7 linked regions of the Callithrix jacchus genome follow. The protein of the gene in region 6 binds, or shares a complex with, the protein of the main gene of each other region. Links are inferred from orthologs where the notes say so. Each region holds a gene or a part of one and is shown on either strand. Other genes may lie near its edges.

Region 1 (4,031 bases), on a different chromosome or scaffold from region 6:
TATAGTCACCAGTATAAAATCGACAGCCAACAGCCTATCAATTGCTTTTTAGCTTATTTAAACACATTTTGCTATAAAAGAGAAATCTAACAATTCAGATATTCTAAATATAGACATAACACAAAGGCATGGGCAAAAATACTACAAACATGATCACTTCTATGCACACTTATTTTTAGATCTCTGTGAAGCATGGCACAAAAAATAGCTCAGTTTTTCATAAACTGTATAAGTTGATTGTACTTTTGCTTCATGGTTCACTGTAGAATTCTAAAATTAATGTTTATATGTTCACATTATTCACCCTACTGAGAATTCTCTCAAGAGAATAAAATATAGAACATTTGGCTTTCTAAATGACAGTGTTGAAACTTGCAGTGTAGTTATACTTTAGTATACATAAAAAGTAATTTCTAAAACTTCTTAATTTATGTTTTACTACTCCCTGTTAGAAGAAATCAATTGCACATGAAGCCCAAATAGCTGGAAAGAACCCAGAAAGTGACAAGAAAATGATGACTTTTTAAAATGCTGATGCTTTTCACACCCAGGTTCAGTCATGCCAGCTGGAGAGAGGTGTTAGATATGGCTTTATTCATTTTAAATCTGAGAACTGTAGTCATTTCCAAAACATTTCAAAAATTGGAACCAAGAGCAATTTGTCTTCATGATCTTGAGTCTTCAAAAGCACTTTTGAAAACCATTTCTACAAACTTAGAAGGTATCCATACAAACCATTTGTATGCTATTGCTTAGAGTCAAAGTATTCTGTCCCAGATTTTCTAGTGAATTAGAAATACTTAGAGATAAAACACATACATACACAGGGGAACTCCGTATCTGAGCCACTTCAGACATGACATCCATTAAGAGGGCCTTTGCTTCTAACCGTGTAAGGGTCGTTGGCTGTGGTCTGACTTGCACAAGAAGTACACATGGCCCCTGAGAGGCGCTTTAGTCCTCTTTGGAATACACTGTTGGAGAGACTATAAATGACACAGTTGCAGAAACTGTTACTAATAGCAAGCCAGGTGGTCAAGAAGGATGCGAAGCGATTGCTGTGGCCAGTGGAGCTTTCCAACAAGAAGTAGATGATATATGGCAACCAGAGGATGTAAAATACACTAGTGATTCGGAATAGGACCATGGCATAGCGCTTATCAGGACAGGCCTGCACTTCCCCAGTCTCCCCACTCTGGCTGCTGAAGCGGGCTTGCCTTTTGCTGATTTCCTCTGTGTGCTGTTGGCAGATGCGGAAGATGTTGAAATAGGTGAAGCAGACAATAAGGGCTGCTGGGGCATATAACATCATCACGATGAACAGGGTGAAGTAGGAGTCGGTGTGCCAGGACTCTGCACACCACTGAAACACATCTCCATGATATCCAGGTTTGCCCCAGTGGAAAAAGGAAGGCAGGAAGACCAGGGTCGAGTACAGCCAAATCAGGAATATACACAGGCGTAGTCTCCAGGGTGTAACCAGGGTATTATAGGTTAAAGGTTTAGTAATGGCAATGTATCTATCAATGCTGATACAAGCCAGAGAAGTCATGGAGACGCTCTTCAGAACTGATACTACGAAACCAAATATCTGGCAAGTCAAGGACTCCTCTACTGGAAGGGGGTGATGGAGGAGTGATAAAGAAGGGACCAGGCAGCTCATCCCAACAAAAAGGTCAGCATATGCCATAGTCTGGATAAAATAACTTGTGGTGTGATGGTTCAACAAAGGTGCACAGTGAAATACAAAAATCACAATGATGTTGCCAGAAATAATCAATACAGTTAGAAAGACAATAATCAATACTTCCAAAAGGCAAAAATTGACAGTTTCCAAATAGCCAAATGCCAAGAGGCAAAAAAGGTGGCTGCTCTGATTACCATCCAAGGTGGAGTTCATCTTGAGCTCTGGAGTGATCTGTCACTTCATGCTGCCGCTTGGCTGCTTCCAACAGTTCAAAGGAGCAGCCGCTGTCATTGCGGTCAGCTTTGCATGTATGTAATAATGCCAGAGGAGCCTTAGTCCCCAAGCTCCTGATGCTGCTGCTGTGGTGCATTGCCTGCAGTGCAATTCCCCTTTAAATCCTTCTTGGAATAAGGAGAGCCAGCAGCAGTTGTCTGGCCAGTTCCAAACGCGGCCATAATGCCAAGTTCATCATACACATAGCACCAGGGGAGTAAGGCAAACTCTGGGGACAACGTCTTCAGGCCAAGTGAGGGTAGGGGGAAAGGGCAGAAGAGAAGGGAAGAAGATTAGGAGCTTCAGCAGGAGTTGTAATGAGTCTCCTCTGAACAGCTGATAGAAGAAAAGGAGAGAGCATTTTACATTTCACATCCAATGCCCTAATCAAAGAACCTGGCTAGCTCAGGCTGGCATCATCCCTCCCACTCCACCCCTACCGGCACCACTATTCATGGCTACCCACAATAGCACCCCATATAACTGATCCGTACGGTATAGAGTAGCAGCAGCAACATCAAGCTTTCAAGATCAGCATAAAACAAAATGAATCACGGTTAGATTGATTTACCCCCATTTCCTTTCATTTGAGACATGGGAGAGAAAAGAAATTTGCTAGCAACATTTATGAAAATCTTTCACTACACTTATCACTAATAAAATTAGCCAAGATAATTTATTTTCTTCACTGATTCCAATATAATATTTTGCCTCTTTGAAAACATTTCAACAGAATTTACTGTTTAGTTCAATTTCAGAATGTTACCTGTAATTCTGCATGCTGCAATCCAAACAAAAGCCACAATACATCCTTAACAGAAAGCCTTGCAGAGCAGGAATGTGCTTCAACCCTGCCTACTGCAGAACTGAGACACAGAGGGAGGGGATAAAGGAGTAGGAGGGGAAACAGGGAGAAGAGGGGGCTTGGAAAAAGGAAGAAAGGGGGAGGGGAAAGAAAACGCCTGTACACGCACACACACTGGCATCTTTAGCAACTAATTGGAATTCATCGTCAAAGAGGTGCCCCCTGATTTCCAGACTGCGCAGTGTGGGAATAGCTTGGTACGCCTATAGTATATCATTTGAAAGCTGTTTCCTCGTCTGTTTGGAATCCCTCTTTTAGTAGATAAGCAGAATTCAGGCTGCTAGCAAGGAGAAGGGGTAGTAACAGAACAGGGTGTCAGTGTCAGTAATTAGACTGAAACACACTGCTAGAGGGGTACTTCCTATTTTCTTACGGCATTTTCCCAAAGAACAAAGAGCAATATTAAAGAAAGGAAGCATGTTAACTTCCTTTAAGTGTATGGCGTATGGCAACTGAGAAACATAATTCAGCTGTACAAGAAGTTCTAGCTAGAAGGCTATTCATTAATTTTGTCTCTCATGATTCACTGAATATTGGCCAAGAAACTTTAAAATCACTTTTCAAGAGAAAAATAAAGTATCTCCTATTCTGAATACTACAGAAATAGCACAGAGAAATTACATCGTTCCTGTATTTGACACTACCCTATAGTTTTGAGACGCTGTTTCTTGCTTCGATTTTGCTGAGCAGTATACAAGAATATAAATAAAAGACAAAAAAGAAAATGTACCTTCTTCTATTCAGGCATGAATATTACAGGAAGTTTCATGGCACAAATAAGCCTTTGTATCTTAGAATATACAATCTTGTTTCTGCCTACTTAAAACAATGCAAACTGGGATTAGATTGTGGTTTTCCTGGTAATGTCATAAATGTTGACAATTTTCAGCTAATAGAATGCTATGAAAATGTGTAATTTTAGTATCTTTTCCTCCAGGGATCTCTGAGACAATAAACAAATGTTGGTGTTTGAAAGCATTCCAAAAGGTATGCACCTGAGCAAAAACATGTGATCCAACTTTCGTTTTTACTCATTTTATACACATTTTCTTATTACAGATAAATGGGCACCCATAATCAGAATGCAATGAATTACATTTTAAATCCGAAGCAGCAGCAGCTGTCTGGCCAGTCCCAGATGCAGCCATGATGCCAAAATAAAAACCTACTTAAGCATAAGCCTGATAGTAATATTTGACAGGTCTT
Region 2 (4,203 bases), on a different chromosome or scaffold from region 6:
TCATAAGCAGAAGTCCAGGGAGTGCCCATATAGCTTTTCTGCAACACTGAGCATCAGTGAGAGCCATGCTGAGGCCATGGGGGCCACCTGCCTCCTGCAGGACCAGTGTACGCAGCTCTGCCTGACCACCCTGCAGTTAGAGGGGCCGCCTCTCCCCTCCTCTCAAGCCAGGAGGCCTGCATTCATGAAAAGCGAGGCGCCCATGGCGGACATGTCCTCTCTTTAACACAGCACTGGGCATGCTTACTCATTCCCAAGCCACAGGAGCCCTTGTTTCTTTCTTTCTCACAGTTTCCATACCCTTTTAAAAGGGGCTCCCTATGTGTGTGGACGAAAGAGAAGTGGCAGCATCCCCATCCCCGAGCTGGTGAATGGAGGTGGTGACAACGCCTGGAACATCCTGGCTTGGGCCATCAGGCAGCCGGAAAGGAGGCAGAGGCTGAGGGCACAACACCTATCCCCAGACCCCAGCAGGCTCCTGGTGCTCCACCCAGAAAGGGGGCTCTCCCTGGAGGCCTGGCCAGCACCCTGGGATCTTCCCACAGTGCTGGCCTGAGTCCATTTGTGGTTATTAAAGGCTAGTTCCCGGCCAGGCGCAGTGGCTCACATCTGTAATCCCAACACTTTGGGAGGCCGAGATGGGTGGATCACCCAAAGTCAGGAGTTTGAGACCAGCCTGGCCAACATGGCAAAACCCTGTGTCTACTAAACATACAAAAATCAGCTGGGCGTGGTGGCATGGGCCTGTAATCCCAGCGGCTTGGGAGGCTGAGGCATGAGAATTGCTGGAACCTGGGAGGTGGAGGTAGGAGTGAGCTGGGACTGAGATCGCACCACTGAACTCCAGCCTGTGCGACAGAGTGAGACTTTGTCTCAAAAAAAGAAAAATAATAATAATAATAAAAATAAGTTTTAAAAAAGGCTGTTCCCCATCAAAAGGGGCAGGGCCATGCGATAGTGCATGGAGCTGGGCGGGGGCAGAGGCTGTGCTCACAGCAGGCTTCCCCACAGGGGTTCAGGCACCAGCAGGGTCTCCTCCCACCTCCTGCAGCTTCCAGCAGGGAGCAACAGCCCAGCTTGACCCTGTTGTGCCCAGAAAGCCTCATCTCCCACCCCTGCCAGCAGGGAGCAACAGCCCAGCTTGACCCTGTCGTGCCCAGAAAGCCTCGTCTCCCACTCCTGCCCTGGCTGACCGGAACATGCGCCCACACTCTTGACAGCAAAGGGCGTGTGCCTCCGTCTTCCCAGGAGAAGCCCCATCCTGATGCTACCTGATTGGGCATCACAATGGCCAAAGGAAGCTGGCTCCGGGGCAGGAGCAAGGGTGGCCCTCTGTCCTGAGCCCCACTCGTGGGCTGCTCCAGCCTAAGTCGCCCAGCACTCTGAGGCTGGAGGTCTCGGGACCCTGCTATGAGCCAGAGCTCCAGGCCCCTACAGTGACTCTGCCCCAAAGACATGCAATGGCACAGTGGCTCCCGCCTATCATCCCAGCACTCTGGGAGGCCAAGGCAAGCGGATCACCTGAAATCAGGAGTTCAAGACCAGCCTGGCCAACATGGTAAAACCCTGTCTCTACTAACAATACCAAAATTAGCTGAGCGTGGTGGTGTACACCTGTGATCCCAGCTACTTGGGAGGCTGAGGCAGGAGAATTGCTTGAACCGGGAGGTGGAGGTTGCAGCCACTGCACTGCAGCCTGGGCAATAGAGCAAGACTCCATTTCTTTAAGAAGGAGACAGAAGGCATTTAAGCAAAGAGATCACACTTCCTTAACCACAAGGTTTCATATGACCCCGCTAAGGGGCCACAAAGTTGCTTCTCTGTCCACCACTCAGCCGGTGAGGGGTAACAGAGCTGCCCAGGGTCAGAGCTTGTGGCAGGGCAGTGAGGTCGGGGACCAGGAGCCCAACAAGGGCCATCCGCTGATGCCTCAGAGATTAACAAGTAGGCTGTTCCCAGGATACCCGCACCAGGCAGGGGGAGAGCACAGTGCAGAGTGAGAAGGAAACACTCTTACCTGGATGGTCCTGAGATCTGGCATAGACACCATGCACCTGCACACAAAAGACCACGGTGTGAGACACGCTCAGGGAAAGCGCCTGGAAAAATCGAGCCCACCTCCCTCCCGGCCACTTAGGGACGCTACCTGAAGACTGTAGTAAAACAGCAGCAGCCGGGGGTACCAGCAGCACAGCCACAACAGCTTGGCCATGGCGTTTTCGGAAGTCAGAGCTCGGAGCCGAGCGAAATTCCTGAGGGTCTGTGAGAACGGGACCTCTTAACCTTCACTTCCTTGGAAAAGGGACATTTTCACAGGTTCCAGGGGGAGAAAAAGTTCTATTTCCTTAAAGGTTGTGAAACACAGCTGTCTTGGAGACCTAATAGGTGTTTCCTCCTTGTCCCAAAACTTGCGATTCTTCAGTGATCGATAAACACGCTGCAATGAGCAGAGCAGCTGTGGAATGCAGGGAGGAGAAAAGAGAGTCCAACTCGCAGTCCCGGGAAAGCGATCTCAGGTCACCACTGTGCCCACGACCTCCACCCGTGGACGGGAGGCTGTTTGTCCTGTGATATTTTCTTTTAATTTCAAGAGCTTCTGTTTGTCCGGGTCAGGTTTGGAGCTGCCCTTTCCTCTGAAGAAGGCTTTGTGCGCGATTTTCCCCTGGAGCTCCCGCCTGCTCCTCGGGCTTGTCCTGCACCCGCTCTCGAGCTCCCGAGCTCCTTCTGGTCTGGCTCAAGTTCACACCTCCGTCCTGCTCCCTGAATGGAGAGGGAGTGAGTGATGTAAGTCTCTCTCCTCAAACTTTGTTCTGTTCTCCTTCTCTATTTATAACCCCACTGCTGTGTCCTTCCTGGGTCCTAACTCTAGCCTGTTAAGAACAATTGAAATATTTTCAGGATCTCAGGCTCAGAAGCAAACCACGCAGACATGGTGCGTGTGTATTACTGGTTCTTCTGGCACTTCACAGTCAGCATTAATATTAATAAATACAAAATGCAAAACAGACCATAAACTCTGTTTACAGCTAAGTCCTGTTTGCCCAAAAAAAGAATAAAGTTGATGGATGAATGGATGGAAAAGAAAAACCAGCACACCCACTGTGCCCTCCATATTAAGCGCTGACCACATTTTTCTCTTTAATCTTCTCGGACGTCAGTGAAAGCTATGCAATCAATTACAAGGTAAGCTACACAATTATCACGTACCACGGATCCCTCCACCCCAGCACCAGAAGGATGTTCTCAATGGGATAGAAAAGAGTCAGCCCCTTTGCCACAGCCGTGCCTCGGTTTACCCAAGACCAAAGTTTATCCGCTCTATTCCAAATACACGTGTACACACAGAGAGACACACACCCTATAATTACAATCACAGCTATATTTGCTATGGGATTTAGGTAATATTTACCTCTTCATACTTTCTCCAACATTCACTAGCTGTGCTCTTAGGAAATTACTTAATCTCTCTGTTTTGAATTCCTCATCCTCGAAATGGGGTTAATGGTTCCTCCCCCTCAAGGCTGTAACAAGAAATTAGAGGCCAGATCCAAGGCAGAACTTGGAAAATATGTGGCACTCGATAAATGTTGCTATTTTTTATTAAGAAAAATGATCACTCAGTAAATGTTAGCTACGATTATTACTAGCAGGTATAGCGCACCCAATAAATGTTAGCTGATAGGGTTATCTCAATTGTCCTGACTTTACATGGGAATTAATAACCCTAAATCCAACATACTTCCTAAAGAGGATAAGAACATGACTTCCAATCTCTGTGAGATAGAAAAAAAGAAAGCGTTGTCAAAACGTTAGCTGATTATTTTTAACTTGTGCCTGCAGCCTACAACCAATCAGATGCTCTGATAGGCTGAGCCTCTCCGTGGAGCTGGAGAAGGGTTCCAGAGAGTTCCATCTCCTAGCACTGGAGAAAACGCAACTCCAGAGGCCCGGGGCCGTCTGTAATAACGACCTTTATCCTGTCGCCCAGGCTGGTCTGCTTCAGGGAAAAGGAATTTACAGCCTTTATCTCGGTTTCCTCAGCTCCCCAGTCCCCGCTGCCTCTTGCTGGAAAGAGGTGAAGGGAGGGACAGGCGGTTGCAGATTTTTCTCAGCCCCAGTTTTTTTTTTTGTTTTTTTTTTGAGACGGAGTTTCGCTCTTGTTACCCAGGCTGGAGTGCAATGTTGTGATCTCGGCTCACCGCA
Region 3 (4,127 bases), on a different chromosome or scaffold from region 6:
ATAAGACCCTGATCCACTATGTTGCCCAAGTGGGTCTCAAACTCCCAGGCTTAAGCGGTCCTGCTACCTCAGCCTCCCAAATTGCTGGGATTACAGGCAGGAGCCCTTGTACCCGGCCAAGGAAATATTTTGATGATAGGAGAGCTCTGCAGGTTTCTGAGCAGGAGGGTAACATGTTTTAAGCCCCTGTGGCAGAGAGACGACTGGGAGTCGGAATCACCCTGAATCCTTTCTAAGTCCAGACTCTATTCATCCCTCGAAACAGGCTCCTGTCAGTGCTCTCACTTCCTTTGCCCACACCACCTCTTTATCGTAAGATGTTTCTGTGGTTTCAGATGCATCACTTCCCCCCTTTAGTGCTGAATCTGGCTCTCTCTTTCATTTTATTTATTTATTTTTAAAATTTGTTTGTTTGTTTGTTTGTTTGTTTATTTATTGAGACTGGGTCTTGCTATGTTGCCCAGGCTGGAGTGCAGTGGCTATTCACAGGTGCAATCCCACTACTGATCAGCACAGGAGTTCTGACCTGCTCCATTTCCGGCCGGGGCCAGTTCACCCCTCCTTAGGCAACCTGGTGGTCCCTCACTCCCGGGAGGTTACCATAGTCATGCCGAACTTAGTGCGGATACCCAATCGGCATAGCGCACTACAGCCAAGAACTCCTGGGCTCAAGCGGTCCTCCCACCTCAGCCTCCTGAGCTCTCTCCCATTTTTGCCCTCCCTGTGCTTGCAGAAGTGTTACAAAAATTGTGGACACTCACTTAAGAGTTTTATCATCTTTATTTTCCATCTGCTAGACCAGGTTGCTTTCCCTTGTAAGAGGCAGTGCCAATTTCTGGTTGCTGGGTACCAACCCATGTCCTGGCCCATGTGGGGTACCATGGAGGAAGGAGATAAGACCCAGACCTCTGGCAGCTCCTAGTTTAGATGGGGAGACAAGATAACATGTGAAATCAAACAGAGCACACTGAAAAGGCAACAGGTCAGACCAATGCAGGGAAACTATCATTAAAGGTCTAAGCCCCGAGGCCTCCCTGCTCGTTTCCAGGCTCAGACCTTTCTGAGTCTTTTTTAACCTTGTTTAGTATTCTCTTCTATCTCTTTCCTGTTGGTTTATCTCCAGCATCAACTGCTACAGCGGTGTCTAGGTGTTGCTTTGAAGCTTGTATCAAGATGGTTATAGGACTCCCTGCTTTAGCCTGGCCACCCCCAACTACCAGCCACATCACAGGGACTGGACTCAAGTTAGCCACGCTGCTTTCCCAGCCTGAAAATCCTTTTTTTTTTTTTTTTTTTTTTGAGATGGAGTCTCGCTTAGTCACCAGGCTGGAGTGCAGTGGCACAATTTCCATTTACTGCAACCTCCGCCTCCTGGGTTCAAGCAGTTCTCCTTCCTCAGCCTCCCAAGTAGCTGGGATTGCATGCGCCACCATGCCCAGCTAATTTTTTGTATTTGTAGTAAAGATAGGGTTTTTCCCCATGTTGGCCAGGATGGTCTCAATCTCCTGACCTCCTGATCTGCCTGCCTCGGCCTCCCAAAGTGCTGGGATTACAGGCATGAGTCACCGTGCCCAGCCAGTGCTTCTACACCTAACTATTTCTTCTTGCATCTCTGAGCTATGCTCCTTTGAGTAGGAAAATTCTGTCAGGAAGGGATACCAAGCTAGTGAAAGGCTTTTGTTCAAAGTCCCAGTCCCAGACTGGGTCTGAGGATTTCTGAATCTGGACAGGAATCCTCCTGCTCCCCCTCTCCCAGCCTTTCCAGCTCCTGTGTAACCCAGGCCACCTTCTTCAGAGGTGTGAAGTCCACTACTCCGTAGTGAAGTCTGAACTCGGCATTCCCTCTCCCTGACTCACACCCCTGTCCCCATTTGTCCCTTCTGCTGTGTCTTTGCTTCTGCGTCCCAACAGGGAGGAGCCGTGATTCCGCAGCACCTGCAGCCCTCTACCAAATGCCCTGCGCACCACGGAAGAAGAGAAATAGAAGAGCAGAGGGTCCAGACTGGCGTTGAGTGAACTGAATACCACGGCAATTGTCCGCCACCAGGGGCTTTTCTTCTGGTAATACCCCACCAAGTGGGACACGTTGTAAGGTCCAAAGCACACCAGGAAATTGAGCAGCGTCACCACAGCCAGCCCCACGGCCCGGTGCCGCCTCTGGGCCCCCACATGGGGCTGGGAGAGCATGATCCGCACGAAACGCCAGTAGCAGAAGATGGTGACCACCATGGGGATGAAGAAGAGGACCAGGCACAGCTCCAGCCGCACGGGCAGCACTACCTTCAGCTGTTCGTCGGTGAAGTTCTCATAGCAGGTAATTTCATTGCCACTTTTGGCCTGCTCGGTTGTGTTCAAATACTGAACAACGATCACGATGGTGCAGTGACCAAAGGACATAATCCAGGCCACGAGGGCTGCAATCACTCCATACAGAGGCCGGCGGGACAGCTTGTACTGCACGGGGAAAGCCACTCCCAGATAGCGCTCGATGCTGATGCCCGCCAGCAGCCACGTGCTGCAGTAGATGCTGCTGTAAAAGCCAAAACCCACGAGAGCGCAGATGATCTCGGGCAGGTACCAGCGAAAGTTCGAGGCAGCCTCGATGATCTTGAAGGGCAGCAGCAGCAGCAGGAGGAGGTCGGCCAGCGTCAGGCTGAGCAAGAGGATGTGCACAGGTGCAGGCTGGGGCTGGCGGACCCGTCCCATGAAGGCCCGCAGGGCCAGGAGGTTGGCAGGGAAGCCAGTGAGGAAGATGATGATGTAAGCCGTGAGGGTCAAGGAGCTCTCCCAGTCCAGCATCCTGGAGGGGAATCAAAAAGGGCGGGGTCAAGGGGTCTCACTCACAGCCTGCTCTCTTTCAGGATGCAGACATCGTCCCCAGCACTGTCCCCTTCCCCGGACAGTGCTTTCTGATGCCACCACGGCTTGCTCACACCACCTGCTTGAACTGCCCAGAGCAATTGTTGACTTTGCCTGGGCGGGATATTAAGCAGTAGTGATTACGTTTGCCATCATGTGTCTCTGGGGGAGACCAACCTGTGGCTTCCCAAGGGAATTTCCCCTCCAGTTTCCCTAGCTTTTCTCCTCCTATCCTCACAGATACAGGAAGTTAGTGTTACCAGTTTCTAACTTTACTCAAGTCCCTTTCTCAGACAGAGACCTGCAGGAGAGAAAGGCATCAGTGTGGGCAGAGAGCTGTAAGATGCATGTCAGGATAACGAGGCTGTGGGGCCCCAGGCCTCGATGCCCAGTGCCAGCTCTCCACAGGACCCAGGTGCCCAGCTGCCAGCCCAGCTTCCTCCTTCCCTTCCTCTGTTTCGCAGAGCATAGATTCTCCCCCACCTTGTCCTCTGCTGCCCAACACCAAACTCTGGGACTCTCTAGAAAAGGGGAAGCTGGGGCCTGCCGCAGTGGCAGGCCTATAATCCCAGCACATTGGGAGGCTGAGGTGGGCAGATCACCTGAGTTCAGGAGTTCGAGACCAGCCTGGCCAATGTGGTGAAACCCCATCCCTACTACAAATAAAAAATGAAAAATTACCTGGGCAAGGTGGTGGGCACCTATAAACCTAGCTACTCAGGAGGCTGAGGCAGGAGAATCGCTTGAAACCAGGAGATGGAGGTTGCAGTGAATCAAGATCGTGTCATTGCACTCCAGCCTGGGTGACAAGAGGAAAAACTCCATCTAAAAAAAAAAAAGAGAGAGAGAGAGAAAAGAGAAAAGGGGAAGCTGGGAGGATTAGAGTGGGGTGGAGGGAGGAAGGCTTGTCCCCAGAAGACCTTGGAGAACAACATTCAGAAAAGCCCACAGGCCTTCACTGGCTCCTGAGCCTCGCACTCTGATCAGAAACAGAGCTCATCCTCTTCATGGGGTAACTCAGTTTCCACTTGGGGTGTCACACTTGCTAGCCCCCAACCCTGGTCCCATCCCTCCATCCACTCTCTAGCCTCGGTTTCCTGGCCGTTTCCTTGCCCCGCCCCACCCCCAACTGGCTCCTTTTCTCTCTGTTTGAGCCTTCCATTTGATTCTGACAGCCTTCCTTCAGACCCCCAGCACCATCCCCTCAAATCTCATCCTGGCCTCTCTTCCAAGAGCACAGGCATGACACTAGCTGCCTTGCCTTGTCT
Region 4 (3,500 bases), on a different chromosome or scaffold from region 6:
AAGGGTTCTTCCCAACTGAAGCGGAATCTACATTACCAAAATACAATAAATTAAAAAGGGAAATATTTGGCCAGACAATTCTCTGTCTTTCAGAAAGTCGAGGAGCCCATTGTCTTGATGTTATTTCCACTCAATTGATTCACTCATTTGAAGAAACAATGTGAACATAAATACAAATTTAAATCTAAAAGTTCATGTTGAAGTAACTGTAGGTAAGAGAATCTATAAACAGATGCTGTCGGTTTAAATATGGAAGATTACTTTGGGGGTTAATGATTGAAGTTATTTAAATAGGAAAATGTTTTTATGAAGGATAATCAAATATAAATACTGCTATCATTTTGCTTCTTACTAACTGACAACTTTTTTTGTCATTTTTTTCCTTGTGCTTTTCCCCCCTTAATTCTCCAAATTGTTGAAGTGACATCAATGAGGCCAATCATTCAAAATAACTCTTATAAGTGCTAGGTCTAATATTGACAAATTTATCAGGAAACTAACATTCATACTACTGGACAAGATATCATAAATCTAAAATCCAAAATATGAAATTTGAAAATACATTTATAATTTGATTCCTATCGAGTGAGACATTTTTAGAAAATCTCATTGGAAAACTACAGCAAATCGTGTAAGAAAAATATAAAGGATAAAAATAACTAGTTATATGTGAATCAGTATAATCCTAATCCTATATTTATTTGGACTACCAAATAAAAAGTTTCCACATGGCAAGATTCTATATAATGCTACCACTTAGATAATAGTTACTGACATGATTGTTATGGTCTGGAATTAGATGGTGAGACGTGGCATGGCAACAGCCACCTACAATCCTTCTGTCAGATTCTGTGAGCTCGTTTGGCCTCTATTTAGTTAGCCACTACATTTCTGTCACAAAGATTACTATAATTCTATTGATAAGAGAATTTTGAAGCTAAATAATGTTAGGGAGAATTGACAATTTAAGGAATATGTAATTGTATTTAAGATCTCTTTTTTCCCCCTTTTACTGGGTCATAGAAAATTGCAGACGAGCTCACTTGATTATAATTTGAATATCGTCCTTTAGCAGGCATGGGATAGAGGGTCCTATTCTCTAGGGACTGACCCAGAAATCATTGGTGCTAAGTGAGTATATCAATGCTGTTCAGGATTCCAACGAAATAAAACAGTATCCCTTTCTGCTGACCAAGTCAGGAGTTGATTTTCTATAAGTTAACATTTCATACACAGGTCAGGCAGATTCAGGTTGAAATAGAATGTCCTAAACTTCTAATTTTTAATCTTAAAATTCATCTGATTTTAATAAACTTTTTCCAACTAGATTGGCCATTATTTAACTTGATGAAACATCGATTTTACAATGACTTTGGGTTCTTCAACATGTTTATGCTTTAGGTAGGATATTCTGTTGAAATAAAAGACTATTTGGGAGAAAATCAGATTGGTTTAAACATTTTGCATATCAGATCATAAGTGTACTAAATCCTTATAGGCCTCGATACCCCCAACGAATGCAAAGGACACAGTGAGGAGGGGTGAAATGTCCATTTTCATGGCTGTTTCTGGCTGGACTTAGTGAAAGTCTTGTAGGTTTTGCCTATAAACAGTATAGAACAGGGATGTACAAAATAATGGCATAACAAGAAGCAAAGTGGTGTGACCTAGTTTGGTTTTTTGTTTGTTTGCTTTCTTTTCATGGTGGGAAAAAGAAAGGCAAAAAATAAACATTTATTACATTGCAATCCTCTAAATAGAACCGTAACAAAAGAATAAAATAGGCTTAACACTCCGGAGACAATTTCTGCATCCTTCTTTGATTTTCTTTCTTTACCTCCCTATTGTATAGTGCCTATTTCTTTGTGTTTAAATCTCCATGTTTACCTTTTAACTGGGGCATTTCCTTCTCTTAAGGACACATGAGAACAACAACAACAAAAGAAACAAAAAAGGAACAAGGTTATTCCTCTTGTGCAGAGACGGTCAAAATTGTAGATTCAGAAGCCCTTCTTCAAGAGAGTATGAGAAAGAGTAGATCGTTCCTTAAATCCACAACCCCAACATGTTTCTTTCATTGTCTCATTGCTCCTAATACTCACAGTTTATAAGGTGCAATTTTTGCAAACTGGAGCCTAGGCGTGATAAGTATGTCACTGCTGGGCTCCTGAATTGCACGTTTTGTAATCAGAGTATAAAGTGCAATGTCAGAGATTTGAAAACCAGGAGCTCTTTTATCCCTTTTATTCTTCTCAAGCTCCCCTTGCCCACTTCTTTCTTTTTCAAAGATGTTTTACCTTGTAGCGCCTATGTTCTTATAATGACACATGAGAAGGTGTTTAAAGGTCTTCTTGAAGGTGGCATTACAAAGTGCATAGCAGGCGGGGTTGATAGTGCTATTGATGTAACAAAGCCAGTAACCAATTGTCCACACAGTGTTGGGGATGCAAGGTGCACAAAAGGTGTTGATGAGCACCATGACATTGTACGGGGCCCAAGTGATGATGAAAGCCAACAGAATAGCCAAGATTGTCCTGGTGACTTTCTTTTCCCGGGAAGGAGGAGGCTTCTTTTTTGCAGGCTGCTTAGTCATCTTCACAATCTTGCGGGCTACAATGTTCTGCTTTTCATCTCCGTTCTGACCTGAAGACCCCACTACCTCCACGGTGGTATTGGTTGGGGTACATGAGTCACTTTTTTGGGTCTTGGTGCCAATTTTGATGCAGGTTTGCTTAGAGTTTTCATCTTTGGAATGGCTCAGGGAAGTGGAAACTGTGTTTTCATCCTGGGTTATTTCATCATCTCTCATGTTAGAGGCAACAGCACTGACTGAGGTGGAGTCATTGGAGCTCTCTTTCTCCTCTCCCTGAACACAGTTTTCCGTCACAGCATCTCTGGGGGCTTTGCCATTCTGGATTTTGTTGTGCTCCAGGCCATCGTCACGGCTGGGCATGTTGTTATTGTTTGGCTTCACTATCCTTCCTTGTACGAGACTTGGAGAAACAGGGTCTTGGTTGGCCACAGGCTCCTTCTTGTCCTTCTTTATCCTGCTCTTGCTGGCTCGGGATATGTGCCAATATAGCACAGTCATGATGATCACTGGCAAATAGAAGGCTGCAATGGCCGTGCCAAAGGTGACAGCAGCATTGGAAAAAAACTGAATGTAGCACTCCCCATCCTCCACAGTTCTCACCCCTACAATGAACTGCCAGAAGAGAATGGCCGGAGCCCAGAGGATGAAAGAGAGGACCCAGGCAGCTGCAATCATCATACCTGCCATTTTTGTGGTCCGCTTGACTGGGTAGGTCAGAGGTTTTGTGACACAGAAGTACCTGTCAAAGCTGATGATGAGCAGATTCATAACTGAGGCATTGCTGACCACATAGTCCAGGGCTAGCCAAAGGTCACACACCACAGGTCCCAAAGGCCAGTAGCCAATCACAGTGTAGAGGGTGTACAAGTTCATGGAGAAAACACCTATGATAAGGTCAGCGCAGGCC
Region 5 (4,019 bases), on a different chromosome or scaffold from region 6:
AAATGCCTAACAGGTGCCTGGCACAAAAAGATGCACAATCAAACGGTAGCTATTTTTAGCTATTACTGCAAAGATTGTCTCAAGTCATTGCCTATTACATTGACTTATAGGCATTGCAAATCTGTCAGCTTTAGAAACTGGATGCAAAGACTTGTCTTACTAAAAAAAATTGAAGTATAATATGAATCAGTCTCATTCACAGAATCAATAATAATAATTCTAAGATAATAATAATATAATGATATAATGCACTTGCTATTACTAGGCATTGTTATCAGAGCTTTGCATATATTATCTTGTTTATTCCTCCCAATTATCCTCTGAATTAGATGCTATTACTACTGCTGGTTTGAAGAAACAGAGGTACAGGTAAATTATAAAACATAGATAAAGGTTACACAGGCAGATAGTTGTTGTGGAGCAAGAATCTAGCTGGGAATATGGTTTCAGAGTATATCCAACTAACCATACTGTACTGATTATCCACTTAACCACTTACCCATACTGAGTATATCCACTTAACCATACTGTACCAATTGTACATCAGAGCTAGGTGATCAGGACCTGGAAGTTCCATTTTTAAATAGAATATGTATATTTATTATATATTATATAAATATTTCTATATATTACATATATTTCTACATATATATAATATTTATTTGGGAGGACACAAATATTCAACCTGATACATATATATGTGTATATATATGTATATATGTGTGTGTATATATGTATATATGTGTGTATATGTATATATATATGTGTGTGTGTATATATATGTATCAGGTTGAATATTTATTTCCTCCAAAAATTCATTTGTTGAATTCCTAACCCCCAAGGTGAGGTTTTTGGTAGGTGATCAGGTGATGAAGACAGAGCTCTCATAAACAGGATTACTGTCCTTATAAAGAGCCCCAAAGAGCTTCCTCACCCCTTTCACCAGGTGAAGACAAAGTGAAAAGACAGGTATTCATGAAGGAGGGATCAGGCCCTAGCTAGACACGGAATCTACTGGTGCCTTGATCTTTTATGCCCCAGCCTCCAGAACTGTGAGAAATACATTTCTGTTGGTTATAAGACACCGAGTCTATGGTATTCTGGTACAGCAGCCTGAACAGACTAAGAGAGTACATGTATATGTATATGTGTGTGTGTATATATATATATGTATGTGTGTTTGTACATGTATATATGGAGCTTTTGCAGTCTGCTATTAAATTGTTTTGATTTCCAAGAAAAGAGAGACACTGAATACTAGGAAAAAGGAACCCCAAATCCTGATAAATGGTGATGTATGTGATGTTTACCCAAAATAAAGAGTCCAAGGTGAACTTACCACAAGTGAATAATAAATATGAAGACAATCACTTTGCCTACAAAACAGCAATCCTGATAATAAAACAGCTTTTGGATATTTTGACTTAAGAAAACTTTCTTTATCCCAAAAGTTTATTTTATTTACTCTGAATTGTAAAAATAAGGACTTTAATTTGTTTGGTGTACATTCTAAGCTTTAGTACTGATTTAATTTTATCTTTACAGCAAAACATGTTTTGCCTGTATGGAAACAGTAACAGGAGAGTTTGAGATTATTATAAACATAGATGAAGCCAAAATACCAGTTTTGTGGGAGTAGGCATTTTGAACAAAGTATGAAGATAACACAAACTCCTTTTTTCTTTGTCCTGATAAAATGAGATGTTTTTAAAATGTAAGATATGTTGTTACCACTTGTGGAGGTTTTATTCTACTATTAATAACTTTCCTAAAATGAAGAGATCTAAAATGCACATCCACGTTCTCCAATAATTTGTCCCTGTTTGTTTAGTGGTTTATTCCTTTGCCATTTCTGCTCCTTCTACTGGCAGTGAACTGTAGGTAACCCTTTCCAAGATTTGTTAGGTGTTTTTAGGAGAAACCAGTAAGTTCTTATGTTTGAACTCATCTTAATTTGCCAAAGAAGAGTAGAATGTACTCATTTATTACTGACTGTAACAGTGCAGGAAGGGATGAAATCATAGCTTAAAGTATTGCAACAATATCAAAACATTCTATCAAAATATCCATATCAAAATATTGCACTACTAAGAGAGGTTTAGAAAAGTAAAAACAAAATGCCGGCATGTATTGCATGTGTGTATTCATTTTACTGCTCAGCTGAAATATGGTTCTGGCTCATGTTCTCCACTTTCTTTCTCTCTTCTTTTTTCTTTTCTTTCTTGCTCCTTTTTTTTTTAACAACTCCTTAAAAATATAAGAGCATTCCTATCTTAGTGGTCATACAAAATAAAGCTATGGATTGGGTTTAGCCATTAAAAAAAATTGTTTGCCAACCTCCTTGATTTAGAATCTAAATCAAGAGATGATTGTGATTTATTATTAATTTTCTTAATCTTTGATAATTTTTATATGAACAATTTAGTTATAACTACATTGAGCCTTTTCAGTCAATATTTTCTAACCTGGTATTCCCAAAGTATCTCTAGCTTAAAATAAAATTCTAAAGAAAGCAGTAACTTACTAGCATTCTTTCCAGTGTCACTTCTTTCTTGAGCTGGTCAACTTCCATCTTCAATTTGTCCTTCTCTGTCAGGTCCTCGATATTGATTACTGGCATCTTTCTGCCTGCTGAAAATGTAGAAGGTTAGTACCTATGCATGAATTGCTGGAGTTATTTCAAGTCAGTCTTAGCCAACACTTCACTCAGCTCTTAACTTACAAAGTAAACTGTTCTTTGTTTTATTTTAAATATCCCACAATAACCAATTTCTCATGAGCTCTCTCTCTTAACAATTCTAGCAATGCACACTAGCCTTGGGATTTTAAAGCTTCTTCCTAATCTTCACTAATATGATTAAGTCGGGCATTTGACCCTAGACACCTGTCAGTAGGTTTGTCGGGAGGGGTGTGTTTAGTCAGCATATAATTTAAAATACTTAAAGCTGCTCCTTGGCCCTGGGCTTTCGTACAGTGTAAAATTTGGGGTTTCCAATCCTTACCTTCAATTTCAAAACCCTTCACCATATGTTTCCTGTCATTTAACTTAGTTTGAGGTCATTTGGAGGATTGCCCACTAATTCCCTAAATCTCTAGAGTATTTAATCTGGTATTAAAAGGGAACCACATAAAAAGTATCACTATAAGTTCATTACAAATAATGGATTGAAATTTGTACCCATCAAATGGAAATATAATAAGCAAACAGACTTCTTAATCAGAAATAAATGAGTGTATTACTTAGAAGTGTTTTGCAGCAACACCTGGAATTTGCCTGTAACTGTCACAATGAATCAAGTAACAACAATGAGCAAATTTAGCAGGTTAAAGGGGACATAGCAAGTGTGATCTACCAATAGGCATCCTACTAGAAGAACAGACTCTTCTGCCCTCTTCACAATTCCTCTTCTCTCCAGTTAGACCAGTGGGTAATTGGGAAAAAGGCTCAGTAGCTGGTGAAATTACCTGGGAAAGATTTCAGTGTAGCCAAGTGGCATTGTGCCTATAGTGTCTCCTTCTTCTCCCTAGTCCAATTTTTATAATGAAGTATGATTGTAAAAGTAAGCATATTCAGATCACACACTGTTTCAGAGAACAACATAACATTGTACATGTACATAAAAATATTCTGCTAGTAATGTATCAGCAATTAACTATTTCCTTGTATTTAGATGGTGTTTTCATTTCCAAAACCTTAGAAGAAAGATTCTTTCCCTTTCCAGTCTTATAATACTCTGTTCTTCTCTGGATAAGTTTTCGTTTAAGATTATTTTTAAGGGACAAATGCCTACATAGGTCAACTATTTTCTAGAGGTAGAAAATAATACACCACGGGTACCTGAACCCAATGTTTCTTATGTTTTTATTTTTGCTATTCTGTTCTTTAAGAAACTATACAAAGGTTATTTCTTCCTGTATAATCCTGTTTTGTATTTGGGAGCCCAAATTTTAATCTCAAGTTCCTTCCCACTCCTTTAGACTAAATATAAAAGTTCATATTTTTTATCATCATTTTTACC
Region 6 (3,500 bases):
CAGAAAGTAAGAGGATAAAAACTAGAAAGAAGAAAGCCACAGAAAGGGAGCCCCAAACCACATACATGGCTGACACCTGACACCTGAAGTGCACAGGCATGCAGCCCAACTAGGGCAGAAAAGCTGAACCCGGTTTCTGTTGCTGCCACACAAGAAAGATACAGGCTGCCTGATACACAAAACTAAATAGTTATTTCTGGAGAATTGTAATCAGACCCAAAGTCTCTATGACACAACATTTACAATGTCCAGAATACAATATGAAATTACTACATGTACTAAATAATAGCAAAATGTCACTCAGACTCCAGAGAAGAGATCCACAAGGACCAGCCTCAGGAAGATGAGATGAGAGGCTGGGATCAGCAGACAAGAACTCTAAAGGCAGTGATAGGACTCTCCTTTTGGATACAAAATAAAACATGCTATTATACAAGGACAGGGAGTCTCAGCAGGAAAATAAAAAGAATTTTTAAATAAAAGCAATAGAATAAAAACAATAGAAATTCTAGAACTGCAGAAGCAATGCCTGACATAAATATTCTGCTGCATAGCCTTATTTAGTTTATCAGAGATAACAAGTACATGAGCTTGAGTGGAAATAAAAAGGTTAAAAGCAAGTAAGCGGGGCTAACAACAACAAAGGAACAAATCTGAAGAAGTGGAAAGTGATGAACAAGCCCAGCCCCTGGACTGCAGGCACAGCACAGATGTGTGTGTATTGCAGTGCAGAGGGACGGGGACTAAAGACAGAGGATGCATTTGAAGACATGGTCTAAAACTTCCCAAATTTGGTGAAAGACAAACTGATAAATTAAAGATGCCAAAACACAATAAAGGCAAAGAAAAATCACACCGAGGCACATCATGTGCAAAACTGCTAAAAACCAAATCTTTAGATTGCTAAAAATATATAAATTTAAAAAAAGTCAACCTATAATTATTATTTTTTTAACCCATAACTCTATATATCCAGCAAAAATACCCTTCAAGAATAAAGGTCAGGCCAGGTGTGGTGGCTCACACCTATAATCCCTGCACTTTGGGATACCAAGGCAGGTGGATCACTTGAGGTCAAGAGTTCAAGACTAGCCTGACCAACATGGCAAAACCCAGTCTCTACTAAAAATACAAAAATTGGCCGGAAGTGGTGGCGCACGTCTGTAATATCAGCTCCTCGGGAGTCTGAGGCAGGAGAATCACTTGAACCCAGTGGACAAAGGTTTCAGTGAGCCGAGATCATACCACTCCAGCCTGGGTGACAGAGGGAGACTCCATCTTATTTAAAAAAAAAAAAAAAGACATTAAAAAAATGTGTGTGATGCAGCTAAAGCCATGCTTAGAGGGAAATTTAAAACTTTTAAAGTTACTATATTTGAAAAGGAAAAAGGGTCTAAAACCAGTGGCCTACAGATCTACTTTAAGCAGCTGGAAAATTAAGAAAGCAACTCCAAAGCAAGCAGAAGGCAGGAAAGAACACAGAACAGAAATCAACAAAAACAGGCAGTGTATCTTCCAAAGGACAAGGAAAACTGTGATCTGGCCAATATTAACTTATTTAACAGACTGCTTAATGGGTGTCAAAAGCAGTACTAGTGACTCCGTGAATGTATTTCTTTGGTTCCAAGTGAAGTGAGTGAGCCTGGTGAAGTGTTACCAAAAGGTACTGGGGCATAAAATTTCTGAGAACAGATAATACAGCCAGAGAGGTAAAATATTAGAATAGGATGCCCTCTTTCTGCAATTGTATGCCCTCTGTGATGAATTAGTGTCACAAGCAAACAAAACCTTGGTGAGATAACGGACTACCCAGCACTTATGGCCAAAGAGCTCTAATCTGCCTCATTTGCAGAAACAGGGTCTCACTCTCGCCCAGGCTAGAGTGCAGTTGTGCAATCATACCTCCCTGCAGCTTCAACCACCCAGGCTCAGGCGATCCTCCAGAGGAGCTGGGACCATAGGCGTGCACCACTGCGCCTGGCTAAGTTTTTTATTTTTTGTAGAGATGGGGTCTAGCTTTGTTGCCCCAGTTAGTCTCAAACTTCTGGCTCCAACCTATCCTCCTACCTTGGCCTCCCAGGGTGTTACAATTACAGGCATGAGCCACCATGCCCAGCACAAATCCACAGGTTTCTTACTGGTAAAGGCGTATCAGGCCTGTTTTCAGTTTCATTTTCAGAAAACTTCTGGTCATTACTATAACTTTTATTTGAACCAGTCTCATTACTAATGATTAATAAGGCTGGGTGCCATGGCTCACGCCTGTAATCCCAACACTTTGGGAAGCCAAGGTGAGCGGACCACAAGGTCAGGAGTTCAAGACCAGCCTAGCCAACATAGTGAAATCCCATCTTCACTAAAAATATAAACATTAGCCAGGTGTGGTGGTGGGTGCCTGTAGTCCCAGCTACTTGGGAGGCTGAGGCAGGAGAATTGCTTGAACCCAGGAGTTGGAGACTGCAGTGAGCTGAGATCATGCCACTCCACTCCAGCCTGATGACACACCAAGACTCTGTCCCCTCCCCAAAAAATTAAAAATCCCTAATTGATAAAAGCTGAGTATCCAAAGCATATAATGTACACCAGGTAAACAGCAAGTGTCACTTGAAGGTTATGAATAAGGATGGGTACCTGTGTGTCCTGCCAGCTCACGACTCACACGCACGTTCCCTTCACGAGTTTTCAGATTGTAAATGGAGCAAATGTTATCCAGGCCACCACAGGCCACATAGTTCCCAGAAGGGGCATATGCACAGGTCATGACCCAGGAGGAGCGCAGAGGGATGGCGTGGACCTAATGACAGAAACAGAGATGATACAAAAACTTCTATGTTCAAAAACAGTAACACTGATTCTAGGATATTCTCATCTTCAACTTTCATTGCATAGGAGGTAACAGAACAAAATAAGAGCCAAAATTATCTAGAGAGTAATTCCCATGTGTGGTCACTTAGGTGAAGCAAAAATTAATGAGAAGTCCAGTGCTGCACATGGGAATGCAAATTCAATCCACAAAATCCACAATTCTACTAAAGTCACAACTTACGATTAGGTGGGGACTTAACAGTAGCACTGCCAACTCATCAAGACTGCACTATTAGGCCGGGCACAGTCACTCACGCCTGTAATCCCAGAACTTTGGAAGGCCGAGGCAGGCAAATCACCTGAGGTCAGGTGTTTGAGACCAGCCTGGCCAACATGGCAAAACACTGTGGCGCATATGCCTATAGTCCTGGCTACTAGAGAGGCTGAGGCAGGAGAATCACAGAGGTTGCAGTGAGCCGAGATCACGCCACTGTAGTCTAGCCTGGCAACAGAGCGAGACTCCGTCTCAAAAGAAAACAAAACAGTCCAGGCCCGGTGGCTCACGACTATAATCCCAGCACTTTGGGAAGCTGAGGCAGGCAGATCACCTGAGGTTAGGAGTTCGAGACCAGCCTGGCCAACATGGTCTGTAATAAAATACAAGAATTAGCCAGGTGTGGTGGTAGGCGCCTGTA
Region 7 (4,057 bases), on a different chromosome or scaffold from region 6:
GGCAAACGTGAGACACGGCAGGATCACCTTCCCGGGTGGGGGAGCCTCTGCAACCCCTGGGTATGCAAGGCATTACGAAAAGGGTGGCCTGCCTCCAATGCCCCAGCCCTGGAGCCCCAGGCAGGGCAGCCCGCAGCCCTTCCCAGGCCTCAGCATACTGACATTTGGAACTAGTGGATGTGGGCAATATGCCGAAAGCCATGCTGCTGATGGTGACCCAATGTGAAATCTAGGCTGCCCGGCTCGGCCTCCTGCTGTCCTCCTAGAATCCCAACTGATCTTGTTTCTGTTCAGGACTGCATGGGGCATCACACAGTCCTGGTATTTCTTGAGCAACTACCACATGCCAGGCATCACCTTGCCAGCTTCACAGGTTGGTTGTTGGCTGAATTGAGATGACAGATGTCAAAATAAGCAAGTCAGTAATAATTCCTATCATTATTGCTATCACCGTCATCACTACCATGGACAGGCAAGGGGACAGGGAAAGAACATCTCATTTCTCAGGGTTCCAACACCTGCAGAGCCAAGCCAAGGCGGCGCCCCATCTGAAGCAATGCATTCTGGGGAGAGATCACCCGAAGGCAGACAGTTCCAGAAAAGGCCCCGCCTCACACGTTGCAGAACTCCATCCTGCAGGGGGATCTCGAGGCTGCGGCCACCAAGGAGAGCCGTTTCGAGCCCTAGAGGCTGACTCCCCCGTTTCCTCCCTCGTGGCGCTGTCATTTCTGAACTCGTTTCTGTACTAACTGTCACTGCTCCCTGGACAGCCCCCAGCTGACAGTCAGTCTGGTTCCTGTTTTGAGAAATCTGATTGTAAATGTCTTAGAAAAAAATAAAGGCCCTAACGGCCTTTTCAAAATGCAGACCAATTTTCCTCTCTCAGGCTTGATGTTCAGGCAATCTGAACACCGGTGAGCAGGGCATGGCAGAGGGGGCCAGTGAAGGCCATAGGCATGGCAGCCCTGCAGTGTCAGCTGGGGCTGAGATGGCTGCTTCAAAGGCCGAGGGACACCGCAGAGTCACAGCTCTTATTTCACGCCATCCACATTTCACAGATGAGAAGACCAAGGCCCAGTGCGGGAAGGGTAGGTCATAAGATAAGACCCAGAGTCACACGATAAGACCACAGCAGTGTGGACAGGCCCCAGTGGGCACCAGGAGGCTAACTGTCAAGCATGCACAAGGAGTTGCCACACGACACAAGGAATCGTGGCGGGCACATCTGCTCCCTGGCACAGGCCAGAGGAGCCAATGAAATGTAGAACCGGAAGTCTGAAGCCCTGATCTGTTGGCCAGATGCTACCTGGGACTACCTGTGTGACTCTGGACAGGCTACTCACCTCTGGATCTTCAGTTTCCCCACCTGTTCCACAGGGACAAAAGCCACACCTGTCCTCCCTACCCCATGAGCTGCTGAGAGGCTCACACAGTGGAGACTCTATCAGCCATAAAATGCTGGACAAACCGCAGCAATCGTCCACATCCTGTGTACTTTTGCAACTACATCCTGAACAGTCTAAACTTTGATACCAGGTGTGATGTCAGTTGACTTACAGAGAGGTGGCAGCTAAGGTCCAGCTGTTGCAGGTGTGCTGGGAGGGTCCCTGGTTAACAGCACCCACAGGGCACCATATGCAGGGCCCGCCAGAGAAGGAATGTGGGGGAGAGGGCACAGGGGATGTTTCCCCCACCTGAGCGCAGTCTGAGGGGGTGGGTGCCCGCAGCACCCCAGGTCCTGCACACCACGCCGCCCTGAAAGCACTCTCAAGCCCAACTCCAGGACAGCGACCCCACCAGAGGGTGGGAGAAGAGTCCGGAAGACTGGCTGTCCCCCCACACCTCACATAAGTGTAGATAGGAGAGACGGGTGGGGGTAGTAGAAACCCCAAGGCGGGTGCCCGGGAACAGGGACAGCAAAAGGGTGGATGACATGGTCAGGCGAGGTAAATGGTGGCCGGCGGAGGGGAGAGGACCCCACAGGGACCAAGGGCTGCTAGGAGGATGAAGGGGTGCACCGGGTCCCTGTGGGAGAAGGCGGGAGCGAGAGGCTGACAGCGACCGGCGGGGCGGGGGGCCGACGGAGCGCGATAAGGAGGCAGCAGGGCGGCCTGGGGTATCCGAGGGGATCCGGGGGCCGATGGGGCAGAAGAGCTCAGGAGTCGGGGCGCTCTAGGCTCAGGCGCCAGGGTCTGGGGCTTACGGTCTGGATCCGCAGGCGCCAAGGCCACGCTGCTCCGGGCTGGGAGGCCGACAGGGGGTCTCGAGGACCGGCCTCGGGAGTCCGGGTCGCGGGGTCGAGCGCGGGGTCCCTGGTCTGGGGCCGCGTCCGGGGCGCCCGTGGGGTCCGGCTGGGGCCGTGGGCGGCTTCTCCTCACCTGGGCTCGGGCAGCAGGATCTTCTTGCTGGCGCGCGCGGCCGGTGTGGCCTTGCTCTTCTCCATGGCCATCAGGTAGCTCACGTCGGCCAGCACCGCCTCCAGGTCCGCCATCTTGGCGGCGGCGCTGCCTCCTCCCGCCGCCGCCGCCGCCGCCGCCGCCGCCGCCGCTCCCGCTCGCTCGGCGCTCGGCCCGGCCCGGCCGCGGCTCGCTCGGCCTCGGGCGCCGCCGCCTCCCTCCTGGCCCCACTCGGCGCCCGCGGCTCCACTCGCCGCCGCTCACAGGCGGCGCCGCCCCATGGCGCCGGCTCGGGCCCGGCCCCGGCTTGCGCTCCGCTCCCGCCGGGACTGCAGTCGGGGCGCCGCCGCCACCGCCGCCCGCGCGCCCGCGCCCCGGAGCCGCTGCCGCCTCCGGCCCCGCCTGCCGCGCACAGCGCCAGCGAGCCCGCTAGGGCCCGAGCCGGGCGGGCGGCGGCGCCCCCTGGAGGCCGCGCGGAGCCTGACCCCGAACCAGACCTGAGACCGCGGGCTCAGCCCCTGGCCTTGACCGCGGCCCTGGATGCTGGGCGGCGACCCGGGCCTGGAACACGACAGGGACCCGGCACCGAAGACGACCCCAGACCCACTCCCTGACCATAACCTCGGGTCACATCTCTGGATTCCAGGCTCCCCAATCAGGCCGTGGCCCTGACACCAGATGTGGATCACAAGGACCCTGGACGCTCACCGAGACACAGATTCAGACCTTGGAACACGATCCCAGGGCTTCCATCTCAGACCCTGGCTTTAACCCCGTACTCCCTGGCCTTGGACGCAGTCACGACCTAACACCAGACTCCAGACTCAAACTTGGCCCACCACCTCAGACTCCGACCATGACCTCATGTCACAGCCCTGGGTCTCCAACGCCATACTCAGACTGTGACACTCACTCCAGATTCCCAACAGGTCCCAGATCCAGATTTTGGACCATGACCTCGGTCCCATCCTGGTTACTGACCCCAACCTTGATTCTGACTCCAGGCCACTACCATGACCCTGAACCTAGACTTGGGGTCAGGCTTCAGACCTAGACTTGGACTACCAACTCCAGACCACTGTCCTAGACCCAACACCCAGAACTGTGGACACGGACTCAGGACTAGGACATCCAACCTGGGGCCCACACGGGACCCAGAATCCTTAGTAGGTCGCCCAGAACCTGGAACCTGACAACTGCATTCCAGTTACAGGCTTCCCCCATCCCCCGTCCCACCCCTCCTACTCCAGAACCAATCCTGGCCCAGGAGGCACACTCAGGATCAAGGACCCTGCACCCAACCTCACCCCCCAACCGGCTCGTAGACCCAGGTCCCTGGCCAGCATGCTTGGCAGCTCCCTTCCCTGTACCCAATCCCTTCCAGATGCTCCTTCATGATTGTTCCACATGTGGGGTAAAACCTCTCCCAGCTGTGGAGGGCACAGAGGTTTCACTGTGGGGAAACCTGGCAGGGAAAAACCACCCTGCTGAGAGTCCACCCAGAGTGGGGAAAGCCAAGTGTCTCAAGGCAGCATTCATATTTCAACATGCCCCTCTCTCAACTCCCTCTCTGCTTTCCAAGTGACAGGACCCTTTTCCCAGCCCTGAGCACATAGAGCTCAAATCTCATAACCAGTGTGCAGACTAGCACCCAGGATCTT

What was found.
Region 1: the proteins of GNB1 (region 6) and GPR21 are in contact, whole or in part, in a cryo-EM structure (PDB 8HJ1), measured with the Homo sapiens proteins. The link is inferred for Callithrix jacchus from reciprocal best matches to the Homo sapiens genes GNB1 and GPR21. Residues at the interface, in NP_001269468.1 of Homo sapiens: Gln44, Arg46, Thr50, Arg52, Ala309, Gly310, His311, Asp312, Asp333, Phe335, Lys337; in NP_005285.1 of Homo sapiens: Pro57, Leu58, His61, Arg313, Arg317, Thr324.
Region 2: the proteins of GNB1 (region 6) and ADGRD1 are in contact, whole or in part, in a cryo-EM structure (PDB 7EPT), measured with the Homo sapiens proteins. The link is inferred for Callithrix jacchus from reciprocal best matches to the Homo sapiens genes GNB1 and ADGRD1. Residues at the interface, in NP_001269468.1 of Homo sapiens: Arg52, Asp291, Val307, Ala309, Gly310, His311, Asp312, Asp333, Phe335; in NP_942122.2 of Homo sapiens: Ser593, Val594, Ser595, Arg598, His819, Lys822, Val823, Leu826.
Region 3: the proteins of GNB1 (region 6) and FFAR2 are in contact, whole or in part, in a cryo-EM structure (PDB 9CM7), measured with the Homo sapiens proteins. The link is inferred for Callithrix jacchus from reciprocal best matches to the Homo sapiens genes GNB1 and FFAR2. Residues at the interface, in NP_001269468.1 of Homo sapiens: Arg52, His54, Leu55, Asp312, Ser334, Phe335; in NP_001357016.1 of Homo sapiens: Arg37, Gln38, Pro39, Gln40.
Region 4: the proteins of GNB1 (region 6) and CHRM2 are in contact, whole or in part, in a cryo-EM structure (PDB 7T96), measured with the Homo sapiens proteins. The link is inferred for Callithrix jacchus from reciprocal best matches to the Homo sapiens genes GNB1 and CHRM2. Residues at the interface, in NP_001269468.1 of Homo sapiens: His54, Leu55, Asp312, Asp333, Ser334, Phe335; in NP_000730.1 of Homo sapiens: Val50, Asn51, Arg52, His453.
Region 5: the proteins of GNB1 (region 6) and GNGT1 are in contact, whole or in part, in a cryo-EM structure (PDB 7L0P), measured with the Homo sapiens proteins. The link is inferred for Callithrix jacchus from reciprocal best matches to the Homo sapiens genes GNB1 and GNGT1. Residues at the interface, in NP_001269468.1 of Homo sapiens: Leu30, Ile33, Thr34, Ile37, Val40, Ile43, Met45, Arg48, Arg49, Trp63, Ser84, Tyr85, Thr86, Phe235, Pro236, Asn237, Asp254, Arg256, Ala257, Gln259, Leu261, Ser279, Lys280, Ser281, Gly282, Arg283, Leu284, Leu300, Asp323, Gly324; in NP_001316355.1 of Homo sapiens: Met31, Val33, Lys35, Cys36, Cys37, Glu39, Val40, Arg41, Tyr43, Val44, Arg47, Ser48, Asp51, Pro52, Leu53, Val54, Ile57, Asn62, Pro63, Phe64, Lys65, Glu66, Leu67.
Region 7: the proteins of GNB1 (region 6) and GRK2 are in contact, whole or in part, in a crystal structure (PDB 5UKL), measured with the Homo sapiens proteins. The link is inferred for Callithrix jacchus from reciprocal best matches to the Homo sapiens genes GNB1 and GRK2. Residues at the interface, in NP_001269468.1 of Homo sapiens: Leu55, Ala56, Lys57, Tyr59, Ala60, Gln75, Asp76, Gly77, Lys78, Pro94, Leu95, Arg96, Ser97, Ser98, Trp99, Val100, Met101, Leu117, Tyr145, Ser147, Asp186, Met188, Cys204, Asp228, Asn230, Asp246, Ile270, Cys271, Asp290, Phe292; in NP_001610.2 of Homo sapiens: Tyr553, Gly556, Lys557, Asp558, Phe584, Pro585, Asn586, Arg587, Glu589, Pro597, Gln598, Leu600, Thr602, Glu604, Ala654, Leu657, Val658, Val661, Pro662, Lys663, Met664, Lys665, Asn666, Lys667, Arg669, Pro671.

What each region holds. Positions count from the first base shown.
Region 1 is NC_133502.1:171,660,013-171,664,043, reverse strand, and holds the start of GPR21 (putative G-protein coupled receptor 21), read right to left. Parts: upstream 2,801-4,031; 5' UTR 2,727-2,800; intron 2,297-2,726; exon of another isoform or gene 2,203-2,296; 5' UTR 1,901-2,202; coding exon 851-1,900; 3' UTR 1-850. UniProt on the Homo sapiens protein: Orphan receptor.
Region 2 is NC_133510.1:134,171,724-134,175,926, reverse strand, and holds the start of ADGRD1 (adhesion G-protein coupled receptor D1), read right to left. Parts: upstream 2,801-4,203; 5' UTR 2,213-2,800; coding exon 2,147-2,212; intron 2,055-2,146; coding exon 2,018-2,054; intron 1-2,017. UniProt on the Homo sapiens protein: Adhesion G-protein coupled receptor (aGPCR) for androgen hormone 5alpha-dihydrotestosterone (5alpha-DHT), also named 17beta-hydroxy-5alpha-androstan-3-one, the most potent hormone among androgens. Also activated by methenolone drug.
Region 3 is NC_133523.1:31,675,739-31,679,865, reverse strand, and holds FFAR2 (free fatty acid receptor 2), read right to left. Parts: upstream 2,801-4,127; 5' UTR 2,800-2,800; coding exon 1,810-2,799; 3' UTR 433-1,809; downstream 1-432. UniProt on the Homo sapiens protein: G protein-coupled receptor that is activated by a major product of dietary fiber digestion, the short chain fatty acids (SCFAs), and that plays a role in the regulation of whole-body energy homeostasis and in intestinal immunity.
Region 4 is NC_133512.1:110,275,304-110,278,803, forward strand, and holds part of CHRM2 (muscarinic acetylcholine receptor M2), read right to left. Parts: coding exon 2,294-3,500; 3' UTR 1-2,293. UniProt on the Homo sapiens protein: The muscarinic acetylcholine receptor mediates various cellular responses, including inhibition of adenylate cyclase, breakdown of phosphoinositides and modulation of potassium channels through the action of G proteins.
Region 5 is NC_133512.1:55,719,082-55,723,100, forward strand, and holds the start of GNGT1 (guanine nucleotide-binding protein G(T) subunit gamma-T1), read right to left. Parts: upstream 2,801-4,019; 5' UTR 2,723-2,800; intron 2,632-2,722; exon of another isoform or gene 2,629-2,631; 5' UTR 2,621-2,628; coding exon 2,525-2,620; intron 1-2,524. UniProt on the Homo sapiens protein: Guanine nucleotide-binding proteins (G proteins) are involved as a modulator or transducer in various transmembrane signaling systems.
Region 6 is NC_133508.1:39,872,569-39,876,068, forward strand, and holds part of GNB1 (guanine nucleotide-binding protein G(I)/G(S)/G(T) subunit beta-1), read right to left. Parts: intron 2,795-3,500; coding exon 2,632-2,794; intron 1-2,631. UniProt on the Homo sapiens protein: Guanine nucleotide-binding proteins (G proteins) are involved as a modulator or transducer in various transmembrane signaling systems.
Region 7 is NC_133511.1:124,351,234-124,355,290, reverse strand, and holds the start of GRK2 (beta-adrenergic receptor kinase 1), read right to left. Parts: upstream 2,801-4,057; 5' UTR 2,492-2,800; coding exon 2,379-2,491; intron 2,328-2,378; exon of another isoform or gene 2,204-2,327; intron 1-2,203. UniProt on the Homo sapiens protein: Specifically phosphorylates the agonist-occupied form of the beta-adrenergic and closely related receptors, probably inducing a desensitization of them. Key regulator of LPAR1 signaling.